7 linked regions of the Rattus norvegicus genome follow. The protein of the gene in region 1 interacts with the protein of each later gene in a biochemical or structural test. Links are inferred from orthologs where the notes say so. Each region holds a gene or a part of one and is shown in the gene's direction. Other genes may lie near its edges. The genes, in order: Cul2, Cdc34, Ube2d1, Dcun1d3, Dcun1d4, Dcun1d5 and Cops5.

Region 1 (3,624 bases):
CTGGGAGCCGGAAAGTCATTTGCTGCTGGAGTGCGCTTCGTTAGCCACTGACTCTTCAGACTTAAACGTCAGCAAAAGGCAGTAGACAGAGACAGCTTGAACAGCTTCGTTCCTATGACTGCTGTATCATAGACCCCACTCTGTATTAACCACACACATACATGGGCCAGCCTGTCTTTTATTTGTTGAAACGTACGAGATGGTATATTTAGTCTTTAAACAATATATTAAAGTATAGTTGATATATTAACACAGATTAATATTGCTATATATTATTAATATATATTAATATTGATATTATTTCTGATTTTATAAAATTAGCACGTGTTGGTTTGGGAAATCTCGACAAGCTGTAAGAGTCGGGATAGGACTGAGGCTCGGGCTGAGGTAGGGTGAGGTGACTGCAGCTCAAACAAGAGGACTGTGAGGACCTGAGTTTAGATTCCAGCTCCCATGCTGTGCACAGAGAACAAGGACACTGGGGGATTCCTGGCTGGCGAGTGCAGCCCAGAGAGCAAGCTCTAGATTCAGCGAAGCCTGTCTGAAAGTGATATGGAAAATACTTGAGGTAGACACGCCCATGTTAACTTTACCTCTTACATACATACAAAAACTGGGATAAATAACACACTGACACGTCATAGCAGCTTAAATTGTAGAAGAGAAATGTTTCAGGGCCGAGTCTGCCCTGCGTGGGCATTCGGTTGCCTGAGTTACTCTGCCTGCCCCTTTTAGTGCTGTTTCTCAGCATAGCCTCAGACTCCCGGGTTAAGTGAGCTTGTGTCAGCTTTGCACGTCTCTGGGACTGGGTGCACACCACAACGCTTGGGTAGCGCACTCTGTGTGCAAGAACCACGCAGCAAGTTGCTGCAGCCTCAGCAGAGGCACCACAGTGATGGCAGCATACCCACATAGCCATGGGCTCGTCACGGTTTGCAGCGGGCGTTCTGGACAAGGTTTATCATTGGGTGGGTTATGATACCTTTGCCTTTATAGTATCGTGATAAAGAAGTTCCAGGGCCTTGACTTGACATCTAGCTTGACATCTCTCTCTCTCTCAACAGTTTGAATTGTTTTATAGCCAGCATTTCAGTGGAAGGAAACTGACATGGTTACATTATCTCTGTACAGGTAAAAACAATTACTTACTACTCATTTAATGATCTTTATTTATGTGATTCTGTTCCTTTAGAGTGTTAATTCCTGTGTTCTAATTCTAGTTTTTAATCTGCTTTCCTCTGCCTCCTTCTCTGGTATCATTAAGGAACTATCTAATGCTGCTGATGTTCATTGTAAGACATTCTTTGAGTTTTATAATGACAGTACATTTTTGCAGCCAGTCATTTTATAGATAGTAGAGCGTTTGTCTAGAAAAGCAGACTGATGGGTAAGATATTTTTGAGTATCTGTTCTCCAGAGTTTCCTTAGCCCTGTCACCGACTTCTATTTCAAATACTCTAAGAATGTCTTTCTTCTCGGTTCCCTGGAGATGGTCAGCCAAAGCAAAGGGCTATTCTTCTTAGGCTTCAGGAAGGGCTGTGGATCAGCACCCACGGGCCAGCTCACAGCCAGCTGTAACTCCACTTCCACGGGATCTGAAACCCTTCAGGCCACCACAGGAACCAGGCACCCTTGTCCTGCAGATATATATGCAAGCAAAACACCCCCACGCATAAAATTATAAACAACAAAAAAGAAATGATGTAAGGAAGTCTGTCCTGGTTCTTTGACCTTTATTAGGAGCCCTGCTTTTGCCTTTAAAAGGTTGATCTCAGAACCAGCACCATTTGCTTTTGTGTTACTAGCTTGCATCTTAGATTATGGCTTATTATTGTGCAAGCTTATTGAATAAATTGAGTCTTCTGATTTTCTTCCTAATGTGAAATATGTTGATCTTTATGTTTTCATCTTTAATTTCAAGTGTGTGCGCGAGTGTGTGTGTGTGTGTGTTTGTGAGTGTGTGTGTGTGTGTGTGTGTGTGTGTGGTGTTTCTGGCATGAAAACTAGGACTTGGTTCTCTTCTTCCACAATGTGGTTACCAGGGTTGAACTTAAACTATCTTATAAGACACAAAGTTAGAGAGGTAGTTCCCAGCTGTCTCTTCTGTTTCTTCCACTCAGTTCTGTTTCTGCTGCCTCTCCTTCCAACCAGTTCTGCTTCCGTTTTCCTGTTGGTAGTCATCTAAAGTCACTGCTTAAGCTCTGCTTCCGTTTTCCTGTTGGTAGTCATCTAAATAAGTTCTGCTTCCGTTTTCCTGTTGGTAGTCATCTAAAGTCACTGCTTAAGTTCTGACAAAAGCTGCAGTAGATCAACTGTTGCTATAATACATACTCACGACTTCAGCATTGACAGCCCATTGCTCTCTAGTCAAGAGCTTTGGATTACCTTTGCATTAACCTTCAGATGCCTGTTTTTTGTTTTTTCTTTTTTTAAGGAAAACAATCAGAATGTCAAATGGATGATCACTGTACTGTCAATTTTTGTTTTAATTGTAGGTGAAGTTAAAATGAACTATTTGGGGAAACCATATGTAGCTATGGTTACAACCTACCAAATGGCAGTTCTTCTTGCCTTTAACAACAGTGAAACTGTCAGCTACAAAGAGCTTCAAGACAGCACCCAGATGAATGAAAAGGAGCTAACTAAAACAATCAAATCATTACTTGATGTGAAAATGATTAACCATGATTCAGAAAAGGTAACCTTCCCAAGGACTTCAGCCCTTAGCAGATAGAGGATCTTGTGTGGGATATTGGTAGTTTTAAGGTTGTATGATATTCAGATGACTCTGTGAGTTAGCTTAGCGACTTTCCTAGGAGAAAAGGCCTTGACTTTTCCAACAATAAACAAAATGCTATTGGGGGTTAACTGGATCCATCAGAGCCTTGGAAGCAACAGTTATTTCTTCCAGGGTCAACTCTGGAAGTTGTAGTTAGTATTGTGGTTACTGCAGCAGTGTCAGGCAGAAGATAATGTGTATAATGTCTGGGCCTTAAAATAGCTACTTCCTACATAGAAACTGAGTAACATTATGGTAAATGTGAAATCAGAAAAAAAAATTTGTTTTAAATATAGGAAGATATCGATGCAGAATCTTCATTTTCACTAAATATGAGCTTCAGCAGTAAGAGAACAAAATTTAAGATTACTACATCAATGCAGAAGGATACACCACAAGTAAGTACTGGCTTGAATGTCATCTCTCCTAGAAATATCTAGGCGCAGTGCATTGAGTGAGTCTACTTTATACCAAGATGTTGTGCACTGAGTGCTAACCACTGCACCTTGCTACAGCTCCATCTGAAAGCATCTTGGCCCAGAGGCTCACTCTTAAAATACTGTCCTGTGCAACTTAAGTCCTTTTTACTGCTTAGCTGTATTGCATTATAGCTTAGTATAAACTCCAGCGTGACCGATCGTTGTCCTCACAAATCTATAACCACTGGAGGTGTTAGAGGATGGTTGTGGTATTGGCATAGCCCTAATACATGTTTTATTGTTGCTGCTTTTCCTTTGTGCCGAGCAGTGTATATGTTTGATAGTCAAAGGTCAATTTTGGGTATGGTTTCTTGAAGCTACTCTCCCTCTATTCCTCCCCCTTCCCTCCCTTTTTATTTTGAGGTA
Region 2 (4,232 bases), on another chromosome or scaffold:
AGCCCAAGGGCCCAGAGTTCCCAGGGGGAGGACAGGCAAGTGGCATTGGATCCTTGGCTCTTCCTGGTCACATCAACCAGCCCCACCTTTGACACTGTTTCCCTATCCCCAAACAGGTCTGCCTGATATCCCCAGCCAGGACAGGATGTTGGCACACCTGTGGGGGGTTACGGGGCGGGGGAGCTGCCTTTTCCCAGCCCCAGTTATTGATGCAGCTGTAGTCCTTCAGGACACCCACAGTCCAGCTGTGTGAACAACACAGCCTAGGGCCAGAACCACCCACCCCTAGAGGTCACGGGTACACCACACACCTGTCTGCAAGGCTTGAATATGCTGCCACCTCAATACTCATGACCAAATGTCCAAGAAAGGAGTGTGGGTGTCTATGCCGGTCAACCTCGGGGACTTTGCGTGTCTGTTCCCGCTCCTGTAACTTTCCAGGATGCCTCACCACTGCTTAAGCAGGACTAGGGTGTGGTCAAAGGACAGCCTGACATGAGAGTCCTCCCAGGGTAGAGGTTAGCACTCCACCCGCTGGAAGCCAGGTCTGCAAACCCCAAATCGTCGATTCTGTGGGCCCTCCTTCTACCTGAGCCCATAGAGACAATATAGGGACATCCATAGCTTCATGATGGGAAACTAGGGCGGATCCTGCTCCGCTCCCGCACAAGCCACGCCCAACTCCCCACCCACAACCACGCCCCCTTGACGTCACAGAAAAGGCCCCCAAAGCCGCAGCTGCCACTCCGCAGCGCGCAGCCCAGCCCTGCCCGCCACTCCGCACACAGGCATCCGCGGAGCTCTTCCGGCCGGAGGCGACGGCGGCCTCCGGGGCTTCGGAAACGCAAGGCGCCTGCGCGGCAGGGCGGGGGAAGAAGACTACACTTCCCGGCGTGCCCCGCGGGCGGGCGCGCAGACACATTCCGGACCCGGTGGAGGCGTCGCACAGGCGCATTCTAGACCCGGCAGTGGCGCGCAGGTGCATTTCCGGCCCGGCAGCAGCGGCGCGCAGCCGCATTCGGGGCCCGGGTGTGGCACGCAGGCGCATTCGGGGTCCGAAGGAGGCACGCAGGCGCATTCGGGGCCGGGAGCCGGTGCGCAGGCGCATTCGAGGCCCGGCGGCTGCGGCGCGCAGGCGCGTTAGGCGCGGGCCGGGCCGGGCCGAAGCGAGCGCCGGGCGGGCAGCGGCGCCAGAGCGAGTGGAGCCTTCGGGGTCCCCGGGTGGTGGCGGCGGCGGCGGCGCAGAGGAGGAAGGCGGCGGCTCTCCCCCTGCCGGCGCGCGACCCGGTCCGTCCCGCGAGCTCGCGCCGGTCCCGCGGCCCGGCCCGGCCCCGGCCCCGGGCCCCTCCGCCGCCGCCGCCGTCACCGCCATGGCCCGGCCGCTGGTGCCCAGCTCGCAGAAGGCGCTGCTGCTGGAGCTGAAGGGGCTGCAGGAGGAGCCGGTGGAGGGCTTCCGGGTGACGCTGGTGGACGAGGGCGACCTGTACAACTGGGAGGTGGCCATCTTCGGACCCCCCAACACCTACTATGAGGGCGGCTACTTCAAGGTGAGCCGAGCCTCAGTTTCCTCTTTGTGCCTGCCTCTCTCCCAGGCTGGCTCAGGCCCCTCGTGCAAAGCGGCCCCTCCCTTTTTTGTTGGGCACGTGCTGACCTCACCCCGGGGACTGGTCTCCCTATACTGTTCTCCAGCAGGCTACATGACCAGAGACAGCTAATGTATGCCGCACCCCCAGGCAGACCCCCACTACAAGACGTAGGGGCCTCTAGAGCCTGCTGCTGGTCAGTGTGTTCCCAGGCTGTCGTGCACTGGACTAAGCATGTACCTGGGGATGTATCTCCCCGTGTTGTCCCCACTCTTCCAACATGCTTCTGGTGAAGGGTCTCCCCAGGGACAGTTGCTGGCCTTCTTGTTCCGGTGTAGTTCTCCCCACCACAAGACGCAGAAGCATCTGGAGCCCTCTGCTGGCAAGCATGTTCCCAGGTTGTCCCTCACCCCACCAGCATGTGGTGAAACCTGAAAAGGTTCACCTTAGTTTGTCCATATCTCAAGACATAAAGGACCACGGGCAGCTGCTGGCTGACATCCCCAGGCCTGTCCCCTACCCTGGAACACAACCAGAGCAGCCACTGGCCGATGTGTCCCCAGGGAAGAGACGTGTAGCCTGGACAGCCACCTGCTCCAGTTCCAGTAGAGGCCCTGGCAGGGCCTTGGCAGCCGTGCCTGTTGGACAACAGCCACCTTTAGCACTGGCCAGGCTTCACGTAATGCATTCAAGGGGGTGGTGGGGGCCCACCCTGAATCTTGGAGCCACACCTTGGGTTCCTGCCAAGGGCCCTGGACCCTAGAGCTCTCTGTTTGCCCCACCCTGACAGCCTTTCTCAGGTTCCACTGAACAGGTGGAGTCTTAGGGGCCTGATTTTTCCTTCTAAGGGGTGTCGTCTGCCCTCTGGTGGCTTCAGGCTCAATGCACCAGATGTTTTTGTGGTTGGGAGCAGGGAGGCTTAGGCAGCCCCCAACACTGAGTATGTTTGGCCAGGTATAGGTACCCATGTCAGCACAGTTGAATCATCCTGCCTGCCATGGACTAGAACTAGCAGAATCACAGGATCTTATGTTAGGGCCAAAGGTGCACGCAAACCCCAGCCAGTCTGGGGCCCCAGATGTAGGGCCGTGGCACTTATTTGTTCTGCGTCTTCCTTTGTGGCTGATGTCCTCACCCTTCTTGGTCAGTGCTTAGGAAAGTCACAAGTCTCCTTATGCAGGGGAATGTTTGAGTTAGGGTTTCCAGGTACAGCATGTGGAGAACGGGAGGGAGACACATGTGGACACCCTCGCTTCCCACCTGGAGGTGGTCTGAACTGAGCCGCCTTCAGGACATGCAGATGCTGTTAGCACCTTGTCTCCTGTGTTTGCGGGGGGGGGGGGGGGGGTGCTCAGAGCAGGGTCACCTGAACTCTTCCTTGCCCGTAAAGGATTGTGGGTAGAGCCTCCTAGGCTCACATTGTTCTTGAGGTAGCTTAGGAGGAGGCCCTGCATGATGTCACTCAAATCCGCCAATGTAGGAGCTTCCTATATGGTGTGAGTGACTGAGACGTGGGGAGTCTCTGTAGGAGGGGAGCTGTGAGGAGCTTCTCTGGACAGCCCAGCCTGTCTCACTTGAGAGAACCCTTCCTGTTCTGAGCCTCAGTCTGCTCATTCTTAGAAGCATCTGGAGCCCCAGAAGTGTGGGGTGTTGTTCCAGCAATGCCACCTTCCCCATCTGCTCTCCTGAGAGGATCGGGGTGGCAACTCCACACTAGGTTTGTGTGCGCCAGGCAGAACACTGGAAGCTGTCCTTGGGGAGCTCCAAGACTAGGGCAAATCTCAGGCCTTCTCTATCTGTCCAAGGTCGGGGCAGTGGGCAGGGTGAGCTTCAGCCACAAGCAGTTGCTGTGACCAGGCAGATGGTTCCAGCTTGTCTGGTGACTACTCTTGGCCTGGGCCCCTGAGCTTGGGTGGTGTTGGTGGGAGGCCTGAGGCCAGGCAGACCTGCTGACTCACTCCTCTAGCTAGCCCACACCTTTCCTAACCGCCTTGCCTTTCCTAACCTGGATGTCAAGTCACAGAGGTGTGCTGTGTGTATACTGGTGTACAAAGACTGGAGTTGGCTTCAGGGCCTGTACACCAGCGGCAGGTGGGCACAGCCCCTGACTCCAGCAGTGCTCGGGGGCCTGCCATTGAGCCACCCCATTTTCTGCCATCTGTAGGCTCGCCTCAAGTTCCCCATCGACTACCCATATTCCCCACCAGCCTTCCGGTTCCTCACCAAGATGTGGCACCCAAACATCTATGAGGTAAGACACTAGAGGCCTGCTTCAGGCACACTCCACCACACACTTCTCTGCCTCCCTTGCACATGCCCCACCCCTCCTCTAACCCTGGTCACTCTTGCAGACAGGGGACGTATGCATCTCCATCCTCCATCCCCCAGTTGATGACCCACAGAGTGGGGAGCTACCCTCAGAGCGGTGGAACCCCACGCAGAATGTCAGGTGAGAATTGCCATGGAACTGCACCGTGGGCACCCGCAAACACCCTGTACCCTAAGATCCACCCTTCCCTGCTCCAGTCAGGGGTTCCCAGAGTCTGGGGAGCTGAGCTTGCACCTACGGCCCTACAGGACCATCCTCCTGAGTGTGATCTCCCTGCTGAATGAGCCCAACACCTTCTCGCCTGCCAACGTGGACGCCTC
Region 3 (4,343 bases), on another chromosome or scaffold:
ATGAATTGCATGTTAACGCCACTCTTCTTTTGAGGGGAGATAAAACAATAACGACAACAACAATGGGTGGGAAGACACGGCCTATAAAGTGCTGATCAGCAAGCATGAGGACCCTAGTTCCATCCCCAGTGCCCATGAACAAATGTACGGATGATGAGGCTTGTGTGTAAAATCAACGCCGAGCAGGTAAAGACAGCAGATTCCTCGCCAGGCCAGCCCAATGGGTGAGGCTCAGGTCCCTGTGCGTGACCCTGTCTCAAAAAACAAGGTGTACAGCTCCTGGGAAATAATTTCACAAACACACACACACACACACACACACACACACACACACACACACACACACAGGGGGTGGGGGTAGTGGCTTGGTTCTGAGTAAGAAAAACAGCGCCCGGAAGAACGCTGCTAAGTAGAGGCAAGACTGCAAAGGGCCCCTGCCACAGCTGATGGGGACCTGGGAACAGGAAAGTGGACCGATGTGCAGACAGAGCAGGACTGCTTGAGTGGACCTCTGCAAAGCACAGTCCCTCAGACCTTTCTGGGCTGCAACTCATCTCTAGTTTGTGCAGAGGGCGTGGCGTCGTTCTTCTGTGGACCACTGCAAAGCAGGAGAAGAGAACTTCCCAGATGTGGCTGATTTAGCTGCAGGGACACTGTAGAAGCCGGGGCAGTGAGTGTTTTGAGAAGCAAAACGGGACTCAAAACCATTTCGGATAAGGAATGGATTGACTTTAGTCATCAGAAACCTAAGACTGACCAAAGCCGTCGGAAATCTGAGACTGAGCAAAGCGAAAACTCATCCTGCAGGTGCCAAGCCAAGAAGACATGGTTGAAAGGACAAGCAAAATCTGAGATCACAGGAATTGAGAAGGGACTGAAGGACGCCTCAGTGGGCAAAATGCTTGCTGCACAAGCCTGAGGACCCGAGTTCGGATGCCGGAGACCTCGTAAGGGTCGGTTGTGTGGGAAGCTGTCTGCAATTCCATTTTTGGGAGATGAAGACAAAAAGACATAAAGGGAAAACCCTGCCTCAAAAAAATAAGGTGGGGTGCAATTGACGAAGACTCCTCACGCTCCCGGGGGCGAGCGGAGAAGAAACAGAAATATCTAAAAAGGAAGTTAAGATCTGCTGCAGGGTCTGTGCGAGGAGGAGCGACCCGTGATTCACAGCAGCTCCTAAGAGCCGACAGCTCACCTGCTGTCCCGGTTTTTGCAGATTCTGGCCCTTATTCTGCAGAGCGGCTGCAGGGAGTAAGCAGCAGCCTGGTCGCAGCTGTCACCCACGGGTGACCAGACGACGTCCGCGCGGGCGGCAGAGGCCGAGCCTGGAACTACACTTCCCAGTGTGCCAGGCGGGCGGGGCGCGGCGGGGAGGGCGCAGGCTCCTTCCCAGCAAGCGAAGGCGGAAACAAAAGAGCCCGGCGCCGCCGCCCGCACACTCGCGCACCGCGCCCGGGCGCACACGGAGCAGCCCCGCGAGGCGGCAGCCCGGGACACGCGGACCTGCCGCAGCCCCCGCCGCCTGCCCCATGGCGCTGAAGCGGATCCAGAAAGTGAGTGGCTGCTAGGACCGGCCTGGGTGTCCCCGAGAGGTCCCCAGGAGCTCGGGGTGCACGGCGTGGGAGGGGCGCGGGCACTAGGGAGGCCGGGGTGCGGATCGGCCCGCACAGGTGAGGCGTGCATGCGCAGGGTCCGGGTGCTTGGAACCCGGGGCAACCCGATCCGGTCGTGTCCTTTCCAGGCTGAGCCTAGAACCCCGGGTGCGGGTGCCGGTGCGGTGGCCAGATTGCCCCGGGGTGTGTGCATCCCCGCTGGGCAGGGGCTTGCTCTGCAGCGGGCGGCCTGCGTGCCCTATCACGCCGTGCGTCCTTACCAGGTCCCCGGAGCCCTCCTTCCTGTGTTCGCACCCCGGGCTCCCCGGGAGGACAGGGAAGGTGTGGTGGGCCTACGGCCTTTATTCTCAGAGAGTGGGGCTGGGTCTTTCTGGGCTTTGCAGTCGGATGGTGCTCAGTGGGAGGAAAGGGTTGGGGAAGCGGGATTGGGGCGGAGGAGCCAGCAGAAAGCTCTTGCCCCTGCTATTTTGGTGGTTCTGCACGCAGCTGCCACTTCAGGTCACATAGCTGCACCGAGTACATAGTTGCTGATACACAGCAAGATGACCTCCTGGCTGTGATTCAAGGCGAGGCAAGCCAAGCTGGTTGTTGGTTTTGTTTGTTGCTTTTTTTTTTTTTTTTTTTAAAACATCCTCATGATAAACTTAGATGTAGAGTTGAAGACACAACACTAAGGACCACAAATTAAACTGTTTGGATGCTTTGATGCATGACTAGAGAATGAGGAAGACAATCGAAGGGTCAACACCTAGCATCTGTCCCAACCCTCTCTTTGTATTCTTTACCGCACCCATTTCTCTTGTTGGCCTGTCCCCTGACTCAAGTGTCTTTTAACATTTTACAGCCGGCAGCCCTTGCTGCTGGGAACCGGGTGTTTGGGAACGCTTTGGAAGCAAATGGAAGCAGTGGATAATGTGTTTGGTAATTGATTTCACAAGAAATGGATGGCTCCCCAAACGTTTTTATCAACCTTTCCAGCTACACTTGACTGCAAATGTTCTGAGTTAGAGTTAGAGTGGTAGTCGGCAGGCATCTTTCGGTACAGAGGACAGCAACTTTTACACGCAGCCAGATTTTGGGGTTCTTTTTTTGGTTCGAACATCAGCTGTGTAGATCGTCGCTGTTCTTTGTACCGCTGAAGGTCAACTTGGTATAAAATGTAAGATCAGCGTTTATTAAATAATGACGTTTTCTCGTTGGAAGATAACGTGGCTGCACTTTATTTTTAACCGTATAAACAAGCCTAAATTTGAAGCCGCAGCCGTCATTGCCTTGCTGACTTCTGATCGCCGATGTTCTGTTGGTTTCCCCTTTGGAAGTTTTCAAACTTTGCTTCTTTTCGTGATGGTGAGGCATTCTATGTGGCTTTGTTCTCTCTCTCTCTCTCTCTCTCTCTCTCTCTCTCTCTCTCTCTCATGCGCACACACAATAGCTCTTAGATGTCATAGGTATTATCTATAGAATATATCCATTCAGAGAAAGAATGTATTACTGGATGTGTAGTCTTGGTATGTCTTATTGGTCATGCTAAGCTTGACTTATGTATTTGACTTAGTATGGAAAACGTCCACACCTTCTTTCTTTTTCCTTTTTTCCTTTCTTTTTTTTCTTTTTCTTTTTCTTTTTTCTTTTTTCTTTTTTCTTTCTTTTTTTTTTTTAAGATTTTGGGTGTTAAACAGAATTGTCTAGTATGACGATAACCTTAAATACAACTGATGGCAAATCTGTGACAAACTGGTATTGTGGAGAAGACATGGGAGGTCACATGATTCTATGTTCCCCGCATTGACTGCCACGAATCATCAGTCATACATGCCAGCCACCGCGTTCGCCCCCAACGGATTCTACCGTCCTCTGCCATTCTCGCCTGTCATCTTGCTTAGAACTAAGTCCAGGTCAAATAGGCCACCCATGAGCTGCATCAATGCCCTCTGGTATCCTGTGTTCCCATTCTCATTTGAATCTTGTTCAGTCCAACAAATGGAGTTCAATGCGAACCTTTGGCCTTAAAAAAATTTTTGTTTTTAGTGTGTGTATGTGTGAGTACATGCCACATGTGTGGGGGTGGCCACAGAGGCTAGAAGAGGTAAGAGACAGCATCAGGTATTCTGATGCCAGAGCCATAGGTGGTTGTGAGCTGTCTGACGTGGGTGCTGGGAATTGAACTTGGGTCATCTGAAGGAGTAGTTCTTCACTGCTGAGCCATCTCCCAAGCCTCTAACCGCCCTCCTCCTCCTCTTCCTCCTCCTCTTCTTTTTCTTTTTCTTCTTCTTCTTCTTCTTCTTCTTCTTCTTCTTCTTCTTCTTCTTCTTCTTCTTCTTCTTCTTCTTCTTCTTTTTCTTCTTCAATATCTTTTAAAGCAATGACGTGATAACTTCACCATTTCTTTACCTAAAAGTATCAGCCCTTGACGTTCATGGAATCCCAGCTTGGCGGTGGGGTAGCAAAGAATACAGGGAGAGAGACAGTCCCCAGGGCAGGGAGCAAAGTCACTGTAGAGCCCAGGGCTGCCAGTGGAAAGATGCTGGACCTGGAAGCTGAGGTGGGGTTAACATGGAAAGGTCAAAAGCCCTGATGTTCTCCTGTGTTCTCTTCGTCCAAAGACAGAAGCAGGGGCTGGAGTTGAGACGAGTTTTGCTCAGGCTTAATCTCTTGAGACAGGATTTGGCACGTTTGAGAATAATGTTCGCAGCTTCTCATTTCTCCACCTATGAAAAGAACAAAGCTGTT
Region 4 (3,624 bases), on another chromosome or scaffold:
TGAATCCAGAGACACAGGCACGTTGCACTTTGCTGTTTGGCTAGGCCCCTGCTTGTAGTTTTGACATTTCTTACTTCACCATTAGACCATTATGAGATTACAGGTGGCTTGGGTATGGTCTCTTATCTCTATTCTACCAGAATCCAATTTGACAAATCATCCTTACAGAGTGCAGGGTACTTTCAGGAGCACAAGTAACCCTAAAATAGCTACAGCACCTTATTGCTGGGGACTTGATGGAAGCTTCATCATGAAATCCTGCTTTCAGTTAATTTTCCTTATGTACTATAGCATCTGCAAGAGGGCAGGGAGGGAGGAAGAATGGTTGTGGTGAGGTGTGGCTCCTTTAACTCTCCTTGATTCCTACTAAGGAGTGTCACCAGCTCCATCCATTACCATTATCATAGATTTAGCTACCTCTGTATTGTTCTGCTCAATTAGTTGCCATGGCTACCAGGCCAAGGTAATTTATCCTCCAAGGTGTTGCTTGTGTTGTGCTGAGAGGAAAAGACTGTAGCAATCTTTGTTGAAATCTGAGTTTGTAGGTATTAGGTATAGAACCAGATGATGAACTTGTGGCTTAACTCAGGTCCAGATAACTCTTATGTGAAGGCAAAACTTGACAAGACAGATTTCCTCTGGAATATTCTGTTAGAACTGTAGTCTTTGATGTGTTCTGCAAATGAATCAGCCTTTTAAAACTTATGCTGCCTTAAGGATTTTAGGAATTTCCCATGCTGGTTCTCTGTTACCCCCCCCCCCCCCCATATCCAAGGGTAAGCATCCCACAGAGCTTACAGGAAAGGTAACAAACAGTGAGCTGGGGTGGGGTTCTCTCCCTTGGCTCATTGTTAGCTCAGTGAAATAGAGTGGTCACTGGTGGGCAGTTCTGGGATTTAGTGTCTGTACACCACTCCTCTGCCCAGAAAGGTAACTACTTTGTAATTTCCTTCCAGGTTGGCTGGCTCCTCTAACTGATGGCATGTTGAAGTACATGGACCAGTGGCAGCGAAGGGATCTGATCCAGAGTGGGCCACTCTAGAAGGCCAGGCTACAATCACCATGGGCCAGTGTGTCACCAAATGCAAGAATCCTTCATCAACCTTGGGCAGCAAGAATGGAGACCGGGACCCCAGCAGCAAGTCACACAGCAGGCGGGGGGCTAGCCACCGTGAGGAACAGGTGCCACCTTGTGGCAAACCAGCTGGGGATATTCTTGTCAATGGGACCAAGAAAGCAGAGGCTGCCACCGAGGCCTGCCAGCTGCCAACTTCTTCTGGAGATGCAGGGAGGGAGTCCAAGACCAATGCTGAGGAGTCTTCCTTGCAGAGGTTGGAAGAACTGTTCAGGCGCTATAAGGATGAGCGGGAGGATGCAATTTTGGAGGAAGGCATGGAGCGCTTTTGCAATGACCTATGTGTTGATCCTACGGAGTTTCGAGTGCTGCTCTTGGCCTGGAAGTTCCAGGCTGCTACCATGTGCAAATTCACCAGGTTGGTTACAGATGCTTTCATGTCAGGAAGGGACCAGAGGAGGAAAACATGACATTGGGTAGTGGTGCCCACTAGGACAGAATTGGAATGGCTTCACAGGTTTGGGGCAAGTGGTCCCCATCCCCTTCCTGGCCATTTTCTCTAAGCTTAAGTATCGAGTTGTAGTTCTAGTCCAGAGAACTTCCTAGATTCTCCTAAGGAATTAATTTTTCTATCCTGTGTCCAAAACTCGTAGCAGAACTACTGAGTATATCTCTCCAGGTAGGTAAGACTCAGGGATTTGTATCTCTGCAAAGCTTCCTTGTCTAATATGTGCTGTTCTGTGTTTTCCTCACAGAATAAAGTGTTGCCTGATTGATAGATCACATTTGAATTCACAAAAGCACCAAGAGGCAATCCAAGTTACTGGGCACCGACCCTCTACCTAAAATTAAATAAGGACTAAGCAGTGTGAACACTTCTGTTAACTGCTGCTCAGCCCTCCTGACAACTAGCTGCTCAGAACTTGTCTTTTATTCCTTCACATGTCAGTTTAGTCATTTATCTGTAGTCTGCCAGGCACTTAGGTGTCCATAGACTGTCACTGGGAATATACCTCTACTGCTTTTGGAGTTCTCAGCTTGTTCCTTTAAGCCAGGCCTGTGTGCAGCAAGGACAGCTGGCCCCAAATATCAAGTAGCAGTTGTACAATTTGTCACAGTTATATATCCATATTGGGGTTGTTTGTATACAAGGATATGGCAGGGTCATGGCAGACCATGGTTTAAAGAGTGCAGGGTTATGAAGAAGAACTATAGTGGCCTGAAACTGGATATGTAGAGCAAGCAGGCCTCAAACTCCAGGTTCTGCCTGCTTCTTGAGGGCTCGGATTAAAGGTGTGAGCCACCATACCTGACCTGTCAGAAGGAACTTTAAAACACAGCTAATTTATATGACCTTTTCAATAAATTGAATGCCTCACCACTACAGTCCCTGAGATAATCAGTGTGAAACCCTGTTAGTGCTGTATACAGTTAAAAAGTACATATGCAGCTGGGTGTGGTGGTACCTGTCTGTAATCCCAGCCCCCAGGAAGCTGAGGCACAAGGAAGAGAATTCAAGGCTAGTATGGGTTACATAGTGAGATCCTATCTCATAAAACAAAAACAAAAGTAGTTAAAAGAAATTTTAACTACATAGTTTCGGCCCTATGTATGTGTACATGCATGTGCACATGTGCCATGCTTTAAATGTGAAGGGACCAGGGATAACTTGAGGGAGTTGGTTTTCTTTACCATGTAGGTTCTTGGGATCAAAATCAGGTTATCATTCTTGGTGGCAAGTACATTTACCTGCTGAGCCTTCTTGCCATGCCCCCAAAGGCACATTTGTTGTTTTCCATTTTATTTTATATGTATGAGGGTCTTGCCTCATTGCATATCTCTGAGGTGCATGCCTGGTATCTTCAGAGGCCAGAAAGGTGTGTTATATCCCCTGGAACTGGATTTGAAGTTGCCATGTACGTTGTGGGAACTAAACTCGGCTCGATCTATCCACCCACCCATCTACTTTGGAGGCCAGGTCTGACTGCGACTGCACAGCCTTAGCTGGCCTTAGTAGACCAGGCTGGCCTAGAAGAGGTACTGTTTTTGCCTTCCGAGAGCTGGGGCTGGGCTGGGTGTTAGCTGCGCGTATATCCTTGCCTCCTCATACACTGCACCACTCTTACTTATTAATCATGCCTTCTCCTACCTGTTGCAGGAAGGAGTTTTTTGACGGCTGTAAAGCAATAAGTGCAGACAGCATTGATGGGATCTGTGCACGTTTCCCTAGCCTCTTAACAGAAGCCAAACAAGAAGATAAATTCAAGGATCTCTACCGGTTTACATTTCAGTTTGGCCTGGACTCTGAAGAAGGGCAGCGGTCACTGCATCGTGAAATAGCCATTGCCCTGTGGAAATTAGTATTTACACAGAACAATCCTCCAGTATTGGACCAGTGGCTAAATTTCCTAACAGAGAACCCTTCGGGAATCAAGGGCATCTCCCGGGACACTTGGAACATGTTTCTTAACTTCACTCAGGTGATTGGCCCCGACCTCAGCAACTACAGTGAAGATGAGGCCTGGCCGAGTCTCTTTGATACCTTTGTG
Region 5 (4,110 bases), on another chromosome or scaffold:
TGTCAGCTACTTCGCTATTGTAACATCCGTCCAAACATCCGTCCAGATTTCGGAACTCTGCAACTCAAGAGCCAAGGCGGTAGAATTCAGAATACTAACGCTGGACCGGACCCCTTTGTTATTTTTGGACGTATCATCCAATGTCTGTGGCAGAATCTATAGGCAGTCCAGGCTGTGCTTGGGGCAAGGGCTGTTGGAGGTTCCCAAGTGGAGAGTGTGTTCGCGGTGGGGGCGGGGCGCCCGTCCTCCAGCATCTCTTTGCGTTATTGCATTACCATAGTGATTGAGGAGAATTGGTTTTCAAGTACTGAAAAACGTAAAGAAACAACAACAAAAGCAGTATTTTGATTCAAGACACTTAACAATCACAACCCTATTAACGCTTTCCTCTGTTAAACAGCGGTTTGGCCAGGTTCAACTTATGTTTCTTAGACGTATAGTCAGGGGACCTAGCTTGTCCTGGTGACAGGCTGACTGACCCCAGAGCCTAATGTGGCACTGGGTTTTTCTCTCGCTGTCTGGGGAGCATAGAAGTGTCGGACGGACAATGCCTGCGCATTCGAAACCTTTGGCGCAAGCAATGCACAACTCTGAATAATTGACTCTAAAAAAAGGAGGCGCATTTCCAAAGTTGGGGACAGAAAGGTTGTGGCATAAAAGGGAGGAAAGCGGAGGCTTTTTTTTTTTTTTTCCTAATTTCCCGCGATGGGAAACGATTGATGAGAACTGGCGCGACCGGGGCACGGGCAGGATCAGGATCTGGCCGACCGCCTACCAGGGAGCACCGGTCCCTGTGGCCCCCAGCTTGGCTCCGGGTCCCTCCGCCCGCTTTGTTTCGGATGCTTAACCTAGGTTCTCCGTTGGTCTCTCTGTTGGTCTCCCGCTCCAGGACCCGCCCGCCACAGGGCGGGGCTTCAGGGTCAAGATAGACCAAGTCCCCTGTCTCGCCCCTCCACGCGCTTTCGGACCCTTGAATGACTGACAGCCGTTGGGTCCAACCTGCGGCTCCGAATAGTGGCCTCTACCAGGGGCGGTCCGAGGTGAGGAGCCGGGGCCAATCACGTTGCAGTCTAGGGGGCGGGGTCCTTTTGCCTGCTGCAGGCGGCGCAACCTGCACTCCTTCGGTCAAATGAGAGCCGAAGAGGGGCGGTCCCTCGGTGGTGGTCTAGCCAATGAGAAAGGCGGGATGGGCGGGTCGGAGTAGGAGCCGCCGGTCCTCTGTTGAGAGCTAAGGTTTGGGGAGTCGGTAGGGGGACCGCGAGTGGAGCGCGGGAGCCCGGGCGGCAGGCGGGTGTGAGCTGCCCGAAAATGCACTCGGATGCTGCAGCTGTCAGTGAGTAGCACAGAGCCAGCGGGCCGGCGCGGGCCCGCACACCCGGTCCGCTCCCGTGCTCCCTTCTCCACTTCTCCGGTTCCTACCGCGCTGGAGTCCCTGGCCCGGGAACGAGCTGTTCCCCTCCTGGAGTCCGAGGGCCGTGACGCTGCGGGCGGCTGGGGCGGGGGCAGGGGCGGCGGGGAGGGGGTGGGGACTGGCTGGCTTTCCGCGGTGGGGGGAGGGGGGACATATTCTGAAGGCCGGGGGCCGGGAGTCGGTGGTGCACGGAGGTGGAGACCGCGGCGGGCGCTGGCAGATGGGGTCAGGGGTGGTACGAGCGGGCAGGGAGAGACCCTACGGTCTGAGTACCGGGTGAGGCTTGCGGTGCCGGAGCTGTGCAGTCTACCGGGGAAGGCGGGGGAGTGCGAGAGGAGCGGGGGCGGGGACAATAGGAAGGAGGGCTGGGGGCGGGGGCGGGAACAATGGGTGGGGAGCAGGGGCAGCGACCGGGCGGGTGAGGGGTTGGGGGCTGATGTAACCCGGACACGGAGTGGGAGACACTGCAGTGGGATGGGAGAGTTGTGGAGTCTGGTGTGCGGGACGGCGGCCGGGAGTGGCGAGAGGGCTTGGGGGCAGGTGTTGGGATGGGGGTCCCTGGAGGAGTGGATGGTGGGTAGGACTGCGATGCAGTTTGTGGGCTGAGATAGGGGTCGGGGAGGGTGTGCAGAGTGAGTTAGGAAGAAGAGTAGGTGGGGAGGAGCGGGATGGGGAGGGCTGTCATCCTCGGGTTCGGTGCTCTTGGGGCGGGGTGGGGAGCGTTGAACTGTGCATTGGGGGAGGTGCTTCCTCCCGGGAGAGGCCCGGTCCAGCCTAGGAGGGGACCACCCTGAGCATCGGGGTGCACAGAGGAGAGGGGGCGGGGCCGGGTACTCGGGAGGTGTCCCGAGGCTGGCAGTGGCTGCCACTTTTAGCGAGCAACCGGGAGTGAGGTCAACGCGGGCTGGGATTACAGGACCCGGAGGCCGCTGTCTGCTTGCTGACCGGACCTGCAGGGGTCCTAGAGGCGGGGTGGAGGAATTAGCGTAAGAGGTGTCAGGGTCCCCGGCGGTCCGTAGGTTTGGCAGTGTGTGACGCAGTTCCCTAATTTCTGACTATCAGGTGTAGAGACTGATGCGTCAGGACCTGTTAACCTGTATGGAGGGCCGCTTTGGAGGCATAGCAACGCGCGTGCGAGAAGCTACCTCCGCCCGAAGCACCGGGAGGGTCCTTTAGGGGTTTCCTTTAGGGTCTGGCTCCTGGAACCGGTGTAAAGGGAAAGGCAGGCTCATGGAATTCTGGGACTTGTAGTCTCAGCTGCCCGGGCCGCGGTTGGATTGGGTGCACGTGGGTAACTGTGGAAACGAGTCCCAGAATGCAGCGCGTCCCTTGGAACCTCCTTGCTTGACTAACTCGTGCTTTATGCCGCGGAGACCCAATGCGTTCTCTCCGGGAGATTCCTGGATTCCTTGGGCACCGCAGAGGGCGAGCCCAGGCCAAGCCCTGGCCTTTCTCCGAGTTAATTTTCCCCTGCATCTGGTAGCCTTGCGGAACGAATGCTTAGTTTTGAAACATCTTGCATACATTCGTTTTAAAGCAATGTTTATCATGGAATATTTAGAGTGTATTCAGTGTATGGAAGTCTAGGGTGAAGTATATACATCCTTACATAAGTATGGAAACTAAGTAGAGACAAATACATCCCTTGTGAAGAAAATACAGACAACTGCACTGATATTTCTTGGGCAACTTGGTTTGCCCAAGAATTAGGGTTTTGTTTTTTGTTTTTGGAAGCAAATCAAGAATGGCAGCTTAGTGGAATTTGAGGTTGAAGTAGTCTCATGCCAGAACCTGAAATGAAACCCTAAAGGTGAGCAAAGGGGAACTGTGATGTCTTAACTTTTATGTAAGTAAAGCAAACGGGGCTGCTGTTTGCCCTTTGGATGCCAAGCTGTCCTTCTCTCTTGACCATTACATGTCTTCCTGAGTTTGTGGACTTCCAGCCACCAGCCACATCCTTTGCCAGTTCTCCTTAGTGATCACTCCCAAAGTGGGGGCTTTAAGATTTTTTTTTTTTTTTTTTTTTGGTGTGTGGTGTATCGAATTCTATGAACCATCAGTAATTGGAATGGTCATTGGAGGGGTGTTTTAATAACCCAATTGTAAACATCTTTTTTTTTTTTTTGTTTTGTTTTTTGTTTTTTTTTTTTTTTCCCGGAGCTGGGGATCGAACCCAGGGCCTTGCGCTTCCTAGGTAAGCGCTTCTACCACTGAGCTAAATCCCCAGCCCCCAATTGTAAACATCTTGATGAGTTTTTTTTTTTAATTTTTTTATTATTATTATTTTTTATTAACTTGAGTATTTCTTATATACATTTCTTGATGAGTTTTAAGATCTGGAAACGACCTGACACAATTAAGACAGTATTGAACTTGTATATGTAGCAGACAATTCTTTAAAACTTATTTTTACTATTTTTAAGTGTATATATGTGTGGGTATGTGCACGTGCATATAGATGCCATAGAGATCAGATGAAGGCTTGGGATCCCATAGAACTGGAGTTATAGGTGGTCGTGAGCTGCTCAACTGAGTGCGGGGAATGAAACTCAGATCCTCTTAGGTGTTGGGCAGTCTCTCTAGACCTTACAGGATGGCTTTTGAAATAAGAAACTCGTTAGAATATGGTGTTTTAGAGAAATAATTTATATCTATCCTGTTTTGACTTACATCTGCAGTAAAATCTCTAAGAACCGTCT
Region 6 (4,067 bases), on another chromosome or scaffold:
AAAAAAAAAACTGCAGCACTGTCATAGGTTCTCATTATATAGCTTGGTGAAAATCAAGAACTATCACGAGCAACAGAAAAAAGTAAATCACATAACTAGGTGCTTCTGTATACAGACATAATGTCCCTTCCCAAGCCTAACAACCTGAATTCCACCTCAAGAGTCACAAGATAGAGAAAAATGAACTGTCAAGTTGTCATCCCAGCACTGGTACACAATTGCCCCAATAATAAATACATATTTAAAAAAAAATCTTCATCTTTCAGTTGTCTACTTTCTTCTATAGGGAGTTCTGTTTTAGAGCTTAGATCTTGTAATTTTCATATAAAAACAATGCTTTGTGCAGTGTTTATAATAGGGTTGAATGGAGTATAGGTTTGAAAATTATTTTCATTGGTAAAATATATTAACTATATGTCCAGAACTCATTACAACAACCGTTTTTTCTCTTTCTCCTTAACTCTGACTAGATTAGGGTCCTACTATGGTAGCACAGTTGGCTTACAGACATGAACTTCATTCACTAAGAATCTTCTAGGAGATAACTAGACATACCATACCCTTCTTTTTTTTTTTTTTTTTTTTTCTTTTTTTTTTTCTTTTCTTTTTTTCGGAGCTGGGGACCGAACCATACCCTTCTTATAAACAATATTTCCATTAGAAGTAACATGATTCCTGTTTCTTGAGAGCGGTCCATTAGAATGGTTTCCCAAACCCTTTGTATAAGTTAGTCAGTTTTCCAGTCTCTTATCCACGAGGAGAGTTCCTCAGAAGTAAAACATGGAGGCGTTGCCTCAGCACAGGAGGAAGCCATAAACTGACACTGAGCATGAGGGAGAAAAGGACAAGGAGCGTGAGACACTGATCTCAGGCCCACCAAGAACACCCAAAGGGCTGGAGACGCTGTAGGTCAGGAGTGGGCACATTCACGCGTGGCTCCTCACCAGATTACTTCGCTCGCCAGCTGTGGAGCGTTCATGATTTTTATAAAGGACTTCCCTCTGGAAACTCGCCCGAAAAACTCGGGAGACTGAGGCTCCACCTGCAGAGACGCAAATCCTAAAGGCCCATAGGTAGGGAGACCACTCCGGCTCGGCAAGCTTCCTTGCTGCGTCACTTCCGGTCCTGAGCCATCCGCTTCCGGGTCAGGCTGAGCCGCCTGCTCTTCGCGACTACTGAAGGTGCCGCGCTGTCGGCGTTCGCTTCCCCTGGAAAAGCCCGAGCCGCGTTATCGCCGGGCTTAGCGCTGCGCTGCCCCGAATCGCCCCTAAAGAGGAAACCCGAGGCGAGGTCGCGCCTCGGTCCTCCGCTGCGGTCCCTGGCAGGCGGGAGCCGGCGCTGCGGGGCCTGCGGCGGAGCGCGATACCCCTCCCCGGCCGCCCTGTCCACCTTGCCGGGGAAGGCGGAAGATGCCAGTGAAGAAGAAGAGAAAAGCTCCCGGAGTGGCAGCGGCGGTCGCGGAAGACGCGGGCCTCAAAAAGTGTAAAATCTCCAGGTACCGCCTGCCCCCACCCCGCAAGCTCTCTCCTTTCCCCGTTGCGGGACAGGCCGCCAGCCGCTAGCCTAGACGAGAGAGGCGAGCCCTCTCGGGCGAGGCGGTCGGTGAGGCGCCCAGAGTCTCCGCTCCGCGCGGGACCGAACCTCGTGTTCGCCTGTGCGTGAGCTCTGGCGTACTTGGACAAGCTCTGAGATTCACCCCACTTTGTTGTCTGCGTGCCCAGAGGGTAGGAAACAGACGACCATACGTATGCCTTCTCCATCCAATTTCCCAACCGAGAAGTGAGTGCGGATCTGCCAAGATTCATCGCGTCCCTGTGTCTCACAAGCAGAATTGGCTTGGCCCACACATTGTTAAATATCAGGGTGTGAAGAAAGGAGCAGAGCTTGAAGAGTTTGACAGCTGCCTTGGGAATGGTGGAAAGGAAGCCTATGCTATAATTGGTCTCCTGAGTTAGTATTAGAAGTGGCCTAACGTGGATGATCCCAGCAGGAGACCTTTTAAATAGCTGGAGGCTCAGCTTCTAGAGGCACCATGCCTCCACCTGTACCAGTTCCCTACACAGAGTTGGAAAAGGCCCTTGTGGTTTTTGTTTTGTAGCATTAAGTAGATAGTAGCTCTCAGTCCCCTTTTAGGTGTTTGCAAGCTATTGTGTTCTGTGTTCTCTTAGAGGAAAAGAAAACAAAGCAAAACTGAAGTTAAAGCCATTCACTCCCTTTATGGCATACATTCAATCATCACAGAATCATTATTGCTCTGAAAGTTATTGCGATTTAACTTTGAGAAGTGTGCTTCTTCCCATACTCTATGGGTTGTTTTGTATTAATGGTTGACACATAAAGTGACAAAATACTACCATTAAAACAAGACAGCCAGCACTACACAAAGAAGATTTCTCTTTAAGGAGAGATGCAGTGAGGAATGCACTGCTTAAAATATGAAAGAAGTGACTGGTTTCATCCTAATCTTTTTGTAATCAATTGCTTTGTGCCCCCCTCTCCCGCCCTTAGTGTGTTTTAGCAAAAGAGTCTAGGTGATATTTCTTGGGTGATGTATAAGATTCAGTTTTCATTATGCCCTTTGGTGGTTAACATTTCTCTTGACCTTAGCTCTTGGAAAACTATATCTAAGATGTTTAACTTAAACCAGTTAAAACAGCTAGCTGGGCAGTATCCAGTGATTCAGCCTAAATTTTAACAGAGATCTTCATACAAATCAGTGGCAAAATGGAAGTAAGTCTTCAGGCATTCGATAAGGTCTATAGCTTAGTGGTAGAGAGCAAGCCCAACATGAGTAGTTTAGGGAGAGAGGTTTATACTTTCTTGTCTAGTCTTGGGTTGAGACTTAGACTGCACTTCTTTATTATCTTGAAATCTAAGGAAATCATTTTAGGCACTATTTTTGGAATCTGGTAGCAAACAAAGTAGCATTTGGATTTCATTGAGTGCAGGTCCTTATTGCTAATCCTTTCCCCATAATGCTGACTTATAAACCACTATTTTGTTTACATGGAAGCTATTCTTGTTGAAGCTACTTTTGTACTAAAGTTGAGTCTTATTAAGCCTTAGACATTTACGTGTTTCTAAGCTATTGCAGATCCCAGCCTCCTGCTAGACTCATCAGTGGAGAGGAAGATTTTTCAAGAAAGAAGTGCCTGGCTTGGTTTTATGAGTATGCAGGTAATGAAATTCATTTAACAGGATACCATATCATTTGCATTTAGAAGCTGTGGTTTATTCCTTGTTCCTGACCTGTTATGTTTACTGGGATTAGGGTCAAGGCTAAAGGGTTAGGGATTGGCTCAGAATTTAGTGCCATGAACATATCTGACAACTTTTCTTCCTTAGAACAGGTCTAGTCTTAATACTAAAGCTAATCTCTTACCTGCTTTCCTACTTTTATGTTTTTGTTTTTCTTTTATCATTATTATTCTCAGAAGTATTTGCTTAAAGCTAAAACACATAGTAGTCGTTGCCTTGTTATTATACTAACCATGTTACTCTTTTAAGTGATGGCATCCTAACTTGTCAAGTTAAGCTAACTGTATGCAAGGCTAGACTAGTTTGAAAAGGGGGTAGCAACTTTGCTATTGGGAACACCAGTGATCCCAATTGTACAATTTAAAAATGGTTTGGTAGCAGAATAGATTCTTTCTAGATCAGGGGAAATAAATGCTATTACTGGTATCCCAAGACAACCACTAACCCAAATTAAATATAGAGAAATTTTTTTTTTTGGCTGACCTCTATTTAAAACGTTGACCCATTATTAAAAATGCATTATATAGAATCAGAAAGTTTCATCTTATTTCACTTTATAAAGGTTACTAGACACCATAAAGATGGTCATTATGCATGTATATATATATATATTTTTTTTTTTCCTTGAATGCTTGATTCTATTAGCTCCTATTAGGACTTCCTTGAGTATTTTAAGATGGAATTAAATATTTATTTTTAACTCTTGACATTTTGAACAGTCAACGTGATAATTGCTATAGTGCTCCATGAGTTATGATAAGTATATCATTTTCCTTGTAACCATCTGTTAAGAGAAGTTATCCTCATTT
Region 7 (3,624 bases), on another chromosome or scaffold:
GCTCGGGAAAGTGGATGGAGAGACCATGATCATCATGGACAGCTTTGCTTTGCCTGTAGAGGGCACTGAAACCCGAGTAAATGCCCAGGCTGCTGCATACGAGTACATGGCTGCATACATAGAAAATGCCAAACAGGTAAAAATAGTGTTTCTTAAATTTAAAAAATCCTGAGTCTCAACTTCTGAGTTTCTGAACTTAAAACTGTTCTTTTCACAATAAATTCTACATTTTAAATTGAACTGGTTTTTATGTGAAATTTTAAAGTTCTTGTGAGATTTATAGTATTAGATTGGGAGAGGTGGGTCTTTCCAAGATACATTTTCATTTTCACTGTCAATTGTGTTTAAAATTAAAAAAAAAAAAATGGGGCTGGGAAGATGGTTGAATGGTTATGAGCACTGACTGCTCTTCCAGAGATCCTGAGTTCAATTCCCAGCAACCACATGGTGGCTCACAGCCATCTGTAATAGGATCTGATGCCCACTTCTTGTGTGTCTGAGGACAATGACACTATACTTATATACATTGAAAAATAAATCTTTTAAAATAAATGTAGGCTGGAGATGTAAGTTGGTGGTAGAGTTCATGCTCGGCATTCATAAGCCCTGAGTTCAATATCTCCTGTGCCCCTCAAAAAAACCAAGAACAACAAATTTAGGAATAAACTATTCCTGAGTAGGGTATATCTATTAATGGACTATAATGAACTATGTGGGCTTTAAAAAAAAAAAAAAGTATCTCTTTACTTAGGTGGACAAGCTCTAGAATTGTTTCTTCAATAAAAAAAAAAAAGTATGTGGTATGTAGCTATGTGCAGATATGTGTGTTGGTCTACAGAGTTTCTGAGCTGAGAAACTCATGATGAGGGGAAAGATAGAGAAGAAACTAGATGCCCTTGTTCTTGCACGTTGATAGTTTTACACTACGTGAATGTATTGTCTGGTCAGAAGTTCCTTAACGTCAAAGCAGCATATGTTGCACGCTGTCATTGAACCACAGTGCTATGTGAAACTTGTAAATGGCAGCATCTCTGAGACTAAACCATACCTCAAGCAAGCTTTTTCTCTGACGTGTTAGGTTGGCCGCCTTGAGAATGCAATTGGTTGGTATCACAGCCACCCTGGTTATGGCTGCTGGCTCTCCGGAATTGATGTTAGTACACAGATGCTTAACCAGCAGTTTCAGGAACCATTTGTAGCAGTGGTGGTAAGTACTACCTGGGGCTCATTGTTGTGGCTAGGCTGGCTGACCAGTTTACAGACCTTCCTCTTCCATACAATGCTAAAGTCTCAGACTTGCATATTTATGCATGGTTTTTACAGAGATGCTTTTATGAAGTTCTTCAAGAAGACTTGCTAAGTTTTACCATCCTGGAAAACAGTGTGGTAAAAATGAAACTCTGGTGTTATTCTACCTAGGGAGTCTTAACCTTGCTGTACCTCACGCTCTAGCCCATAGGCATTTAATCGGGGTTGACTGAATTGGAGAAGCAGAAGTTTAATCAGTCATTAAATTTAGTTGAAGTATTCCTAGTTCACTGAACTTCTCTAATGATCTCAGTTGTTTTCAGGTTGTTCGCTAGTGCAGTGTGCATGCCTACAGTGCTATGTTTGTTTTTTTCGGTTTCCGATGTTGACTCAGTGGAGCATTTGGCTTATATTGCCCATCCGTCTCTTGTAGATTGACCCAACCAGAACAATATCTGCAGGGAAGGTGAATCTTGGCGCCTTTAGGACATATCCAAAGGTGATTTGGATGGAGGGCTGTATAGGGGGAATCTCCTGTAGTTGAGATTAGCCTTGACTTTACTCACGTCTTAAGTATTGGGATTACGGATGTCATCTGGGGTGATGTGTTTGTGAGTACAGGCATGGGTCTGCAGGTCAGAAGAGACCCTGGGGAGTCAGTCCTCTCCTTCTACCTTGTTTGAGACTGGATCTTTACTTTTCACTGTGTACAGGCTAGCTGGCTCTTGTACATCCTATCTCTACTTCCCGTCTGACCACAGACAGCTGGAAGTGCAGATGTGCACTAACCAGGCCTGTGTTGTGTGGGTTCTGGAATCCAAGTTTAGCTTCTGACATTTATACACAAGCTTTTTTTCTCCAGTGCCAACAGTACCTAGACAAGTACTCTACCCCTGAGCTATATATGCAACCTTTGTGATATCTTTTTTAGTGTAGAAGGATTTTCAAATACAAAGTTGCAAACTGCTACAGCTCATATCAAGCAATAACACATTTGTTATTTAGTAATCTTGCCAGACATAGGGTTTATTACCAAGAAACATTGGTGCACCCGTGGCAATTTGACAAGTACTAGAAAGTACACAGCGCCAGCAGTCCTTTTGTGTCTGCCTCCCTAGGACTGAAAGTAGCGTGTAAGCACCAGGCCCAGCTGTTATCCCAGTATTGGTGCTTACTGTTTGGCGCTCCTCAGTTTGGTCCCATACGTAAGAAGCTGCAGAGAAAGCTTTGCTTTTTGTCATTTTCATTTTTTGTTTTCCTTGCTTTTATTTAGGGCTATAAGCCTCCTGATGAAGGACCTTCAGAGTACCAGACTATCCCACTCAATAAAATAGAAGATTTTGGCGTGCACTGCAAACAGTGAGTAGCAGTTGGACTGTTGTCAGGGCTACAGACGTGGCACAGCAGCAGGCTGAAGTGGAAGTGGTGGATCTGTCAGTGATGCAGCTCAACCTTCCACTTCAGCAGACTTGCTCGCCTGCCATTCCCAAGGCCCAGGGTTCAAAGCCCAGCACCAAAACTCAGAATTCATTCAGTCAAAGACTTACTTCACACCTGACTCAGACAAAATGTATTTCATAATATGTAATACCTTTGAAATAGTAGAAAAAGAATATGAATTTAGGATAATGATAAAAGTGTTTAAACTAATAATTATTCTCTTTCTACTTATGGTTTTCCTCAATAATTCTTTTAATCTAGATCATTTCATTGCACAAGATACTCAGTCCATAGTAAGATTAGCAGTTGAAACACATTCCCAGGCACAGCTTGACAATAGCAAGTTTGCTGCCCTTAAAGTACACAGTTTGGAATGGGAAGATGGCACAGTGACTGAAGGTCTTTGATGCCGAGGCCGACGGCCTAAGTGTACTGTTGTATAAGTGCCATGCACTAACCTAACTGATTGCTCTGCTGGAGCATCAGCAACTAAGTTCAGTCCCCACGTTCAGTCCCCACGGCCATACAACAGAAAGAGAATAATTCCTGCCAGTTGCTCTCTGGTTTCCACGTTCATGCACATGGGACCCACCCATACACACACAATAAATAAATGTCATTTTTTCAAATGCCCGTTTTAGCTGTCTTAGCTCTTTTAACAGGCTTTGTAAATGTATCTCACCACCTTCCCTCCTGCACATTCACCCAAGCTACTGCATCTGAAGCTCCAGCGTAGCGCTCCGTACACAGCCACTCTTCCTATATCTGCCCTCACCCTAAAGGTGGACCAGCCAGACTGGTCCCGTTAGCATGTGTGCAGAGCATGTCCTTCCCTCAAAGTAATGTTCCATCTTGCCAAGAGTGAGAGCCATAAGCCTTACCCAACTGCACAACTCTGTGACCTGGTCCCTGCTCGCCTCTCACCGGGAAGCTTTG

What was found.
Region 2: the proteins of Cul2 (region 1) and Cdc34 form a complex in vitro, tested with the Homo sapiens proteins (2 studies listed by BioGRID). The link is inferred for Rattus norvegicus from reciprocal best matches to the Homo sapiens genes CUL2 and CDC34.
Region 3: the proteins of Cul2 (region 1) and Ube2d1 form a complex in vitro, tested with the Homo sapiens proteins (2 studies listed by BioGRID). The link is inferred for Rattus norvegicus from reciprocal best matches to the Homo sapiens genes CUL2 and UBE2D1.
Region 4: of the proteins of Cul2 (region 1) and Dcun1d3, one has a biochemical effect on the other in vitro, tested with the Homo sapiens proteins (2 studies listed by BioGRID, with this or other methods). The link is inferred for Rattus norvegicus from reciprocal best matches to the Homo sapiens genes CUL2 and DCUN1D3.
Region 5: of the proteins of Cul2 (region 1) and Dcun1d4, one has a biochemical effect on the other in vitro, tested with the Homo sapiens proteins (2 studies listed by BioGRID, with this or other methods). The link is inferred for Rattus norvegicus from reciprocal best matches to the Homo sapiens genes CUL2 and DCUN1D4.
Region 6: of the proteins of Cul2 (region 1) and Dcun1d5, one has a biochemical effect on the other in vitro, tested with the Homo sapiens proteins (2 studies listed by BioGRID, with this or other methods). The link is inferred for Rattus norvegicus from reciprocal best matches to the Homo sapiens genes CUL2 and DCUN1D5.
Region 7: of the proteins of Cul2 (region 1) and Cops5, one has a biochemical effect on the other in vitro, tested with the Homo sapiens proteins (3 studies listed by BioGRID). The link is inferred for Rattus norvegicus from reciprocal best matches to the Homo sapiens genes CUL2 and COPS5.

What each region holds. Positions count from the first base shown.
Region 1 is NC_086035.1:58,867,014-58,870,637, reverse strand, and holds part of Cul2 (cullin-2), read left to right. Parts: intron 1-1,064; coding exon 1,065-1,131; intron 1,132-2,495; coding exon 2,496-2,698; intron 2,699-3,075; coding exon 3,076-3,177; intron 3,178-3,624.
Region 2 is NC_086025.1:10,670,728-10,674,959, reverse strand, and holds the start of Cdc34 (ubiquitin-conjugating enzyme E2 R1), read left to right. Parts: upstream 1-1,352; 5' UTR 1,353-1,370; coding exon 1,371-1,547; intron 1,548-3,747; coding exon 3,748-3,834; intron 3,835-3,934; coding exon 3,935-4,032; intron 4,033-4,160; coding exon 4,161-4,232. UniProt on the Homo sapiens protein: E2 ubiquitin-conjugating enzyme that accepts ubiquitin from an E1 ubiquitin-activating protein, and catalyzes its covalent attachment to other proteins by an E3 ubiquitin-protein ligase complex. In vitro catalyzes 'Lys-48'-linked polyubiquitination.
Region 3 is NC_086038.1:17,307,027-17,311,369, forward strand, and holds the start of Ube2d1 (ubiquitin-conjugating enzyme E2 D1), read left to right. Parts: upstream 1-1,432; 5' UTR 1,433-1,529; coding exon 1,530-1,553; intron 1,554-2,853; exon of another isoform or gene 2,854-2,957; coding exon of another isoform or gene 2,958-2,960; intron 2,961-4,343.
Region 4 is NC_086019.1:183,678,886-183,682,509, reverse strand, and holds part of Dcun1d3 (DCN1-like protein 3), read left to right. Parts: intron 1-956; 5' UTR 957-1,062; coding exon 1,063-1,493; intron 1,494-3,233; coding exon 3,234-3,624. UniProt on the Homo sapiens protein: Contributes to the neddylation of all cullins by transferring NEDD8 from N-terminally acetylated NEDD8-conjugating E2s enzyme to different cullin C-terminal domain-RBX complexes and may play a role in the cell cycle progression by regulating the SCF ubiquitin E3 ligase complex, after UV damage.
Region 5 is NC_086032.1:35,074,402-35,078,511, reverse strand, and holds the start of Dcun1d4 (DCN1-like protein 4), read left to right. Parts: upstream 1-1,222; 5' UTR 1,223-1,308; coding exon 1,309-1,333; intron 1,334-2,176; exon of another isoform or gene 2,177-3,221; intron 3,222-4,110. UniProt on the Homo sapiens protein: Contributes to the neddylation of all cullins by transferring NEDD8 from N-terminally acetylated NEDD8-conjugating E2s enzyme to different cullin C-terminal domain-RBX complexes which are necessary for the activation of cullin-RING E3 ubiquitin ligases (CRLs).
Region 6 is NC_086026.1:12,695,991-12,700,057, forward strand, and holds the start of Dcun1d5 (DCN1-like protein 5), read left to right. Parts: upstream 1-1,169; 5' UTR 1,170-1,409; coding exon 1,410-1,495; intron 1,496-3,085; coding exon 3,086-3,177; intron 3,178-4,067. UniProt on the Homo sapiens protein: Contributes to the neddylation of all cullins by transferring NEDD8 from N-terminally acetylated NEDD8-conjugating E2s enzyme to different cullin C-terminal domain-RBX complexes which is necessary for the activation of cullin-RING E3 ubiquitin ligases (CRLs).
Region 7 is NC_086023.1:13,978,255-13,981,878, forward strand, and holds part of Cops5 (COP9 signalosome complex subunit 5), read left to right. Parts: coding exon 1-136; intron 137-1,078; coding exon 1,079-1,207; intron 1,208-1,681; coding exon 1,682-1,747; intron 1,748-2,521; coding exon 2,522-2,607; intron 2,608-3,624. UniProt on the Homo sapiens protein: Probable protease subunit of the COP9 signalosome complex (CSN), a complex involved in various cellular and developmental processes.